Linked DNA regions of Canis lupus familiaris. The protein of the gene in region 2 purifies or fractionates together with the protein of the main gene of each other region. This does not show direct contact. Links are inferred from orthologs where the notes say so. Each region holds a gene or a part of one and is shown on either strand. Other genes may lie near its edges. The genes, in order: HAUS2 and HAUS5.

Region 1 (3,814 bases), on a different chromosome or scaffold from region 2:
GAGCCATATTCTTCACATAAAATCTATCTGCCTCTAACATTCTACATGGACATTAAAAAATAAGCATTTGGGGAACGCTGGGTGGTGCAGCGGTTTAGCCCCTGCCTTTGGCCCAGGGTGTAATCCTGGAGACCCAGGATCGAGTTCCACGTCGGGCTCCTGGTGCATGGAGCCTGCTTCTCCCTCTGCCTATGTCTCTGCCTCTCTCTCTCTCTCTCTGTGTGCCTATCATAAATAAATTAAAAAAAAAAAAATAAGCATTTGTCTTACAAACTATTTCTGATCATTTTAATATTTTGCCCAGAATTCAGTTACTGGCTGCCAATTGCCACTTTTAAATTTTATTTTGAAAAAAATGTCAAACTTACAGAAAAGTTTCATTATATTCCCATATACATTTCACCTAAACTCACCAACTATTAACATTTAGCTACATTTTTATTTCTTCTTTCTCCACATACTCAGTACATGTATTTTTGCTGATCCACTTAAGTTGTACATAACATGAAATTCTTACCCCTAAAACCTGAGCATGTATTTCCATAAATGGGAAAATTCTCTTATGTAACTATATTACAAGTATCAAATTCATAAAATTTAAAATTGGTACAATACTACCAATATTTAATACAGTCCATATAGACACATCACCAATTAATTCAATAATGTACCTTATAGCAAAAGAAATTTCTAATCAAGTATTCAGTCCATGACCATACTATGCTTTGGCTATTGAGTCCCTTTAGTCTCCTTTAATCTGGAAAGTTTCTCAGCCCTTCTTGGTCTTTCAAGCTTTCCTGAATTTGAGGAGCTCCTACCTTGGTTACATTTTATGCTATTTGTACTAGTCAAATGAATAAGACTTCTATTTGAGCACGGAATAGAAGACTTCATTAGCTTTGGGGAAATACCTGGAAAAATTACGGTATATCATAATTTTATTGCCTGGTGCTTATATAAGGTTATTCAAGAAAAAGTTGAAATTCCAATGATTACTATTTCATCAAACTACTTACCCAAAAAGAAAGGATGAACAACATCTGCTGTATCTTTTTCTAGTTTTAAAAGTTCAATTTCCAAGTTTTTCTACATTAATAAGAAAAATAACATTTAGCTCATGTAGAATGGTGCCTGAAGGCTTATACTTTAGTAAAAAAGGCATAGTCTTTAACCCAGGAATATTTGTGGGGAGGGAGAAAGATTTGTTATGATAGCCCAGGGGATTTACTGAAGATTTTCATTTTGGTGTTCAAGCCCTATTGCTGCTACTGCTACTACTAACTCCTACTATCACTTATAAGTAAACACTTATCTGGCTATGTGCTAGACAATGTTCTAAGTGCAAAAGAACTGCTATTGGAATCAAGATTTTTTTTCCCTGTACTAGAAAGTAAAAAGTCCAACATAATTTACCTGGTAGATTTCAGCTTGAATATTTGAGATCTGCTGTAGTCTGGAGAAGTTCACAAAGTAAGGTGCTGATTTCTTAGATATATTTAACATCTCCTATTGGTAAGTGAACAGAGAAAGCAGTCGTAAGTCACAAAAAGTTTCTATGTGCACTGGAATAGCAAACCCACAGACTTAAAACATGAGGATTTATTATGTCCAACACTGCCCCCGGGGAAAAAGAAGTACAGAGTGTAACAGTAGCAATGTATATTTCCTGTTTGCAAAATACCATCTGGGCGCCTGAGTAGCTCAGTGGGTTAAGCATCTGATTCTCCGTTTCAGCTCAGGTCATGATCTTGGGGTCATGAGACTGAGCACCACTTTGGGCTCCATGCTCAGTGAGGAGTTGGCCTGGTATGCTTACCCTCTTCCTTTTACTCCCCTCCGCCCATCCCCTCTGTGCACCCATAGATACTCTCTCTTTTTCCCTCCCTCTCAAATAAATAAATCTTAAAAAAAACAAAACAAAAAACAAAACAAAAAACAAACAAAAAACTAAATATTCACTATCACAAGTCCTTTGGCCAAATATTTAAAAAATAAGAAAAACAAAAAACACTTAATCACTGTGTTCTATTTCCTAAAGCACTATGCACAATATATTTACATTAGTGACAGCTTACCAGAGAAGGCTGGTAAGGTTAAGAAGGCTGAGGCTTAGATTGGTGGAGAATCACCTCTATACAAATCACCAAGACCTAGTCTCTGACTTTCTGAGGGCTAAAATCAAATAGTTTCCCACCATGGAATCATTTATCTGATTCATTAAATGATCTTTATTGGCTGCCTCTTTTCACATTCTCACTTTTTTTTAAAAAAAGATTTTATTTATTCATTAGAGACAGAGAGAAAGAGGCAGAGACACAGGCAGAGGGAGAAGCAGGCTCCATGCAGGGAGCCTGATGTGGGACTTGATCCCAGGACCCCTGGGATCACGATCGGAGCCAAAGGCAGACACTCAACCACTGAGCCACACAGGTGCCCCACATTCTCACTCTCTTAAAGGAATCTTCTGTCCAGGTGGAATTCTTCTTCTAAAAAGCTTATATCCTCCTTTTTATCCTTTCATTTCATGCAAAATATTGCTTGCATATATTGCCTCCTTAAATTGCAGGTTGCTTCAGAATAAGAATATTGTTCATCCCGAGTCCATCCGTAATTTTCTCTGTATTCTTTTCTTCTTCTTCTTTTTTTTTTTTTTTTTAAGATTTATTTATTCATGAGAGACACAGAGAGAGAGAGGCACAGACACAGGCAGCGGGAGAAGCAGGCTCTTCACAGGAGCCTGATGCGGGGACTCCATCCCGAATCCCCGGGATCATGACTTGAGCCGAAGGCAGCCGCCCAACCGCTGAGCCACCCAGGCGTCGCTCTTTTGTTCTTTTCAAGAATATTAGCATATTTAGATCTTTACATATCTTATAGGAAAAGGGTTAGAAAATGATAGTCCAGGAACTAAATGCACCCCACTCACTGCCTGTTTTTGTATAGGCCATAAGCTAAGAATGGTTTTTATATTTTTTAAATGCTGGGAAGAAAAAAATTAAAAGAAAAATAGTATTTTGTGACACATGAAAATTATATGAAATTCAAATTTCAGGATTCAGAATAAACTCAACTGCACCCATTTATTTACTTATTATCTCTGGCTTCTTTCACACTATACACCAGATGCAATTATATGGACCTAAAAGCCTCAGATACTTATTCTCTGGCCCTTAATAGTAAAAATTTGCTGACCAATGATAACACATTTTATTAGCATTTATTAAGTTAGGCAATTGAAGATTCAGGATGGATGGGAAGGAAAAGATATTCTAGTATTGATATATATGTGAAAAGAAAGGGAAGATGAATCTGAGAATGTAGTTTCCTACTTAATCATGAAAGATCTTGATAACTATGACAAACAATTATAATGCAGAAAATGAGAGTAATTCAAAGTTTTCTGGTGACGAGGTAACATGTTCATATATAATACATATTTTAGAAATTTAAAAAGGATAATATGGAAAATAGAACTTATGAGGCTGGGGGGGCAGTAAGGAATAGAGTGACTACTTAATGGGTATGGGGTTTCCATCAGGTTGATAAAAAAAAGTTTTGAAAATAGATTCACAACATTGTGACTATACTTCATGCCACTGAATTATACACTGATGTTAAAATGGTAAATTTTATATTAGGAGTATTTTACCACAAAAAGACCTACCACTAAAAACCAAAAAAGCTAGGTGAGAGATGGGACTGAAGGTTGAATATTTAGACAAGCAGTTACTATAGCATTCCAGGTGAGAAGATGAGAACGTGGACTAGGTCAGTAGCAGTTAAAAAGGAAAGGAAGACAGAGATGTGATTCCCT
Region 2 (4,452 bases):
AAAGAATGTGATGTTTTCCCACCACACTCAGAATAGTAACAATGGGTATTAGAAAACTCTTCTAAGTGCTCTGTATGACTTAACTCACCTAATTCCCACACGTACCCTATAAAATAGATTTAATATTATCCCCATTCCATAGAACTTACAAACTGAAGAACAGAGAAGTTAAGTAGTCTGCCCCAGGTCATGGAGGTGTAAGTGGCCAAGCTAAGACATGAACCCAGCCTCAGAGTAAAATCCCAATGCCTATATGGCACTCTGTCCACCTCTTCCACCCCCCATCCCCCCAATGCTCTCCCTTTTGCCTGTGTAACTGAAGCTGAACTGGCCTCTGGGCTGTTCTTCCCAGATGCTAAGCTCAGCACCTTTCTTCTTGCTGTCCTTCTCCTTGAGATTCCTCCCCCAATTCAAATGTTACCTCCTCAGAGAGGCCTTCTCTGACCATCCTCCCCAGAGTAGCATCTCCTTCTCCCTTATTATCATATCACCTTTTTTTTTTTAATCATAGAATTTATCTTTCCCTGCAATTATAGCACCTGCTCCCTAGTTTACCATCTGGTTCCTCTGCATTATAGTGTAAGCTCCATAAGGGTGGGGACTTGTCCCTTATTTAATGTTCTTTCCCCAGAACATTCCCTAGATATACAGTTGGCACCATTCTAGGCCCTGGAAAAATAAGTGGCTGAGATAAGAAAACTTCCTGACCTCACAGACTTCAAATCCTACGGAGTAGAGCTCAGAATTCTAGAACCCAAGAAGGGGTCAGGGTAGAGCACTGGATCTCTAAGGAAAATGTCTGTCTGCCTGCCTGGTGAAGGCTGGTCCCTGGGCACCTGAGGCCCACCTCTCTATGTCCTGCAGACGCCTCAGCTGATTCTGTAGCCGCTGCATGGGATCTTGGAGCCCCTGCTGCTGTCTTCGCATGGCCCCAGCTTGGGCCCGGAGGAGGAGAGCACGACGCTGGGTGTCTTGAATGCTCTGCAGGGTCTGCTCCATGGCCATGTCTATAGGAGAAACACGTGGCCATCAGCAGTTCCCCTACACCCACTCCATTGCTCATCTTCCCAGCCCCATAGGTCACCCTGAGCCTCGGTCTCTTGCTCCACTAGCTCCAGGCTCTGGTCTAACTCCTGGATCTCTGCCCGCAGGCGAGCAACAGTGGCTTCCAGCTCCAGCTTCCGACGGGCCTGGCGGGAACAAGTACAGAGGTAGTTAGATGCATAGGGCTGGTTGGGGCTTGACCCAGCCTGACTGCTCTCTGTGGAGGACCGGTCTCCTTGCCTGCACAGGTAGGTGGCAGAGGGTTTATCACAAGTAATTTCTATGCCTGATTCTCTAGGCCTAGAGAAACACTAGGGTACCATCTGGCCGCCTCCTTCCTCCTGGGCTTGCCTCACCTATCCTCCTGTTTCCTGTCTCTGCGCTGATGACAGTACATCTCTGCCCCAGTTCTTACCTCCCCACTGAGCCCCACATCTAGGGGGTCCCAAGGTCTTCTGGAAGCCTTCCCCTAGATGTTACTGGGGCCCCTTGCACACAATAGGTCCTACACTGGCCTCAGTATATCTCCCAAACCAGTCCCTTCTCCCAGCTCACCTCATCAGCTTTGATGCTTCATATTCATATCCCTTCAACGCCCAGCTCATGCCTGTCTCCCCCAGACTATAAGCCCTCTGAGTGTGGGGATTAGGGCTGTCTTGTGACCCAGTATTCCCAGCATCACATAGCACAAGGCTGGGCCTAGAGCAGAAATCTACAAGTCCTCTTTTTGGATGAAAGAAAATCTTATAACACATGCATGCTTCTCACCTCTGGACTGTCCTGGTGGCCATACCTAGGAAATGAGACCAGAGTTAGGGGATGACAGAGACTTTGGGGCGGGGGAGACACAGGAGGTATGAGGCTATGGGTGAAAACACAGTTGGATGGGACTAGGGAAAAGAGGAAGGAATAGCTTTTAGAACCAGTTACCACAGTAGGTTTCCCCGGATCTTCTTGACACTCCTACAGCAGAGAGGCGGAAGAAGAGGTGTTACTGTGGGGCTTGCCTGTGTCCCCTCCCCTGTCAAAGCCTCCCTCATGCTGCCGGCTCACCTCTGGCTGTGCACATGCCGTAAGACGTAGGCCCAGATGTCGGCCCCCTGGCCCAGACACAGTCTGTGGGGACAGTGTGTAAAGGTATGCCTCGGGCATCACACAGGGTACATCATCCTTATCCTAGGGTGGTGGTGGTGGGGAAAGTCTGTACTAGGGAATTCTCCCTTCTGCAGGGAGAGAGGGCCCATACTTTTTGGAGTGAGACATTCCCTCCTGGGGAGTTCTCTGTCGCTGAGTTGTGGGCCTTTCACTGGGTGGGGTGATTCCTTTCTCCTGGGAGAAGGCCCATCTCTAGCCACTTCCAGAGGAGGGGGTTGGGGGGTACTGCCAGGAGGTGCTCTCATTACCCGATGTGGGGCATCACTCCTATAGATTCAGTCTCCAATGGGGTGGTCCTTGTTGACTCGAGCCCCCCTACCGGTTGGGGTGGGTGGGGGGTGGTAGGAGGTTGCAGGGACAGTCTTACTCCAAAGATCTTACTTCCACACAAGAAGGGGGCTTCAGGAACTCTGGAGGATCCTCACTGGCGCCTCGGCCCTCACTCCGGGTGGGAGTGTGGGGGTCCCCGTCAGGGGGTCGTCCCTCAATCCAGGCTCCCCTTCCTGGATATACTACTGGGTGTGTGTGTGTGTGTGTGTGTGTGTGTGTGTGAGGGGCGCCCTTAAGGGCCATCCTCACCCGGGCAGAGGAAGGGAGGGGCGGGGTTCCCACGGCCGGAGACCATCTCCGGGGCGGGGAGTCCTCCTCACTCGGGGCGTCCCTCACCTGCGCAGCGTCGACTCCGGGGCGCGGGCTGCGACGGGCGCCCCCATCTCCTCCGTCGCCCAGCAGCCCAGCTCCCGCGCTTCCCGCATCAACTCCATGCCAGCGCCGCAGCGGCGGCCTCCCGCGCCCGCTTCAAGTGCGGCGCCCGCCTCTGACGTCACGAGCGCGCCGGAAGTGACGCTGCCGCCGGCCGGGCGGGGGTCTCCCGGCTCCTCCGCGGCGCGGAGCGGTTGCCTGTCCCTCGCTCGTCCCGTTTGGGTCGCTTTGAGTGAAGATGAAGCGGGTGTGGAGAAGCGGCAAGGCCCGTTCTCTTTCCTCGTCCTCCCGCTCACCACCAAGTGGCCCCTAAGAGGCAGAAGCTCCCAGATGCCTCCCATGATGTGCGTGACAAAATGGGGCTTTCATCCTGCGAGGCCGGGTACGGAGATGCCAAACTTACTGCCCTTTGATGTCAGCAACAGGGTGGTTCAGGTCTGAGTGAGGGTTGGGGCCGACAGCATGAGCCTAATAGCGCCCCGCCATGCGTTCTTCTAGGTGTTCCTTCGTCTTTCCCATTCCATGACATTCGTGAGCCGACCCTGCCCCGCGGACACCGCGGTGGATGACAGCCCCAGCGTCCCTGCTGCGGAGCTCGGGTCCCCTGGGGGACGTAGACGCTTCACCATCACCAGGTAGGGGCGGTAGAAAGTAGACAGCAGGAGCGGGTCGGTTTGGGACAGGGAATGTGCGAGGTCCGTGAGCTGCCCCAGAAAGCCCTGGGTCCTGGGGCTAGAGATCCAGAGAGCCCACTCCGCCTCGGACAAGGGCCCCGAGAAGTGGCAACATTCAGTGACCTATCACTGAACATGCTTGCCGAGGTCATCGCTCTGTCCTGTGTCCAGTTCAAAGCCTGACTCTCTAAGAAGTCATTCAATAAACAAATGAGGGGAGAGGTGCTGGGGTAAAAATAAACGGGTCTGAGGAGGAGGGTGGAGCAGGATGAGGGAGGGTCGCCGAGGGCAGTGGTGGACCATGTAGGGCTGTGGAGCAGAGAGGTGAGGACTGAGTGAGTGGGTCAGGAGATTGATTGGCAGTAGAGGTCCAGGGCGAGGTCCAGGGCTCTGGGATTAGGTGAAGCAGACCTTGAAATGCGCATGTGAGAGAAGGGACAGCTTTGGGGGAGATGCTGATAACAATGTGGGACCCTGTGGGTGTGAGGAGTTAAGGGACATCCAAGAGGTGGCTGGCCCAGGGCAAAGGGACCATCGGGTCACCATTAGGATAGCAAATCTGGGGGAGACGCTGTCAAGCTTCAAATATTTCATAAGGGCTGAGAAGCAGAAGAGGGTGCCAGGGACTGATGTAATCCAGGTGGGTTTCCTGGAAGAAAGATTGGCAGCTGCTACTCCACAATACCTAATGCTCAAAAGGTACCATTTTGCTCAAACATTGTCAATCTTCTGCTTTTTCTGGGGTGTTTTGCTATTAAAAAACAAGTTGATTAGATAGCATGTCTGTCATTGGTCTGTGAGCCTTTCAAGGGGTTTTATTTTTATTTATTTTTCTTAAAGATTCTTTTTTTTTATTCATGAGAGACACAGAGAGAGA

What was found.
Region 1: the proteins of HAUS5 (region 2) and HAUS2 purify together in Homo sapiens (affinity purification with mass spectrometry; 5 studies listed by BioGRID and IntAct, with this or other methods). This does not show direct contact. The link is inferred for Canis lupus familiaris from reciprocal best matches to the Homo sapiens genes HAUS5 and HAUS2.

What each region holds. Positions count from the first base shown.
Region 1 is NC_049251.1:9,798,415-9,802,228, reverse strand, and holds part of HAUS2 (HAUS augmin-like complex subunit 2), read right to left. Parts: intron 1,507-3,814; coding exon 1,414-1,506; intron 1,087-1,413; coding exon 1,017-1,086; intron 1-1,016.
Region 2 is NC_049222.1:117,844,330-117,848,781, forward strand, and holds the start of HAUS5 (HAUS augmin-like complex subunit 5), read right to left. Parts: upstream 3,022-4,452; 5' UTR 2,964-3,021; coding exon 2,866-2,963; intron 2,182-2,865; coding exon of another isoform or gene 2,161-2,181; coding exon 2,098-2,160; exon of another isoform or gene 2,014-2,097; intron 2,008-2,013; coding exon 1,975-2,007; intron 1,838-1,974; coding exon 1,813-1,837; intron 1,293-1,812; exon of another isoform or gene 1,191-1,292; coding exon 1,085-1,190; intron 1,008-1,084; coding exon 848-1,007; intron 1-847. Other genes in the region: uncharacterized protein LOC111090112, read left to right, coding at 2,134-2,181, 3,400-3,536.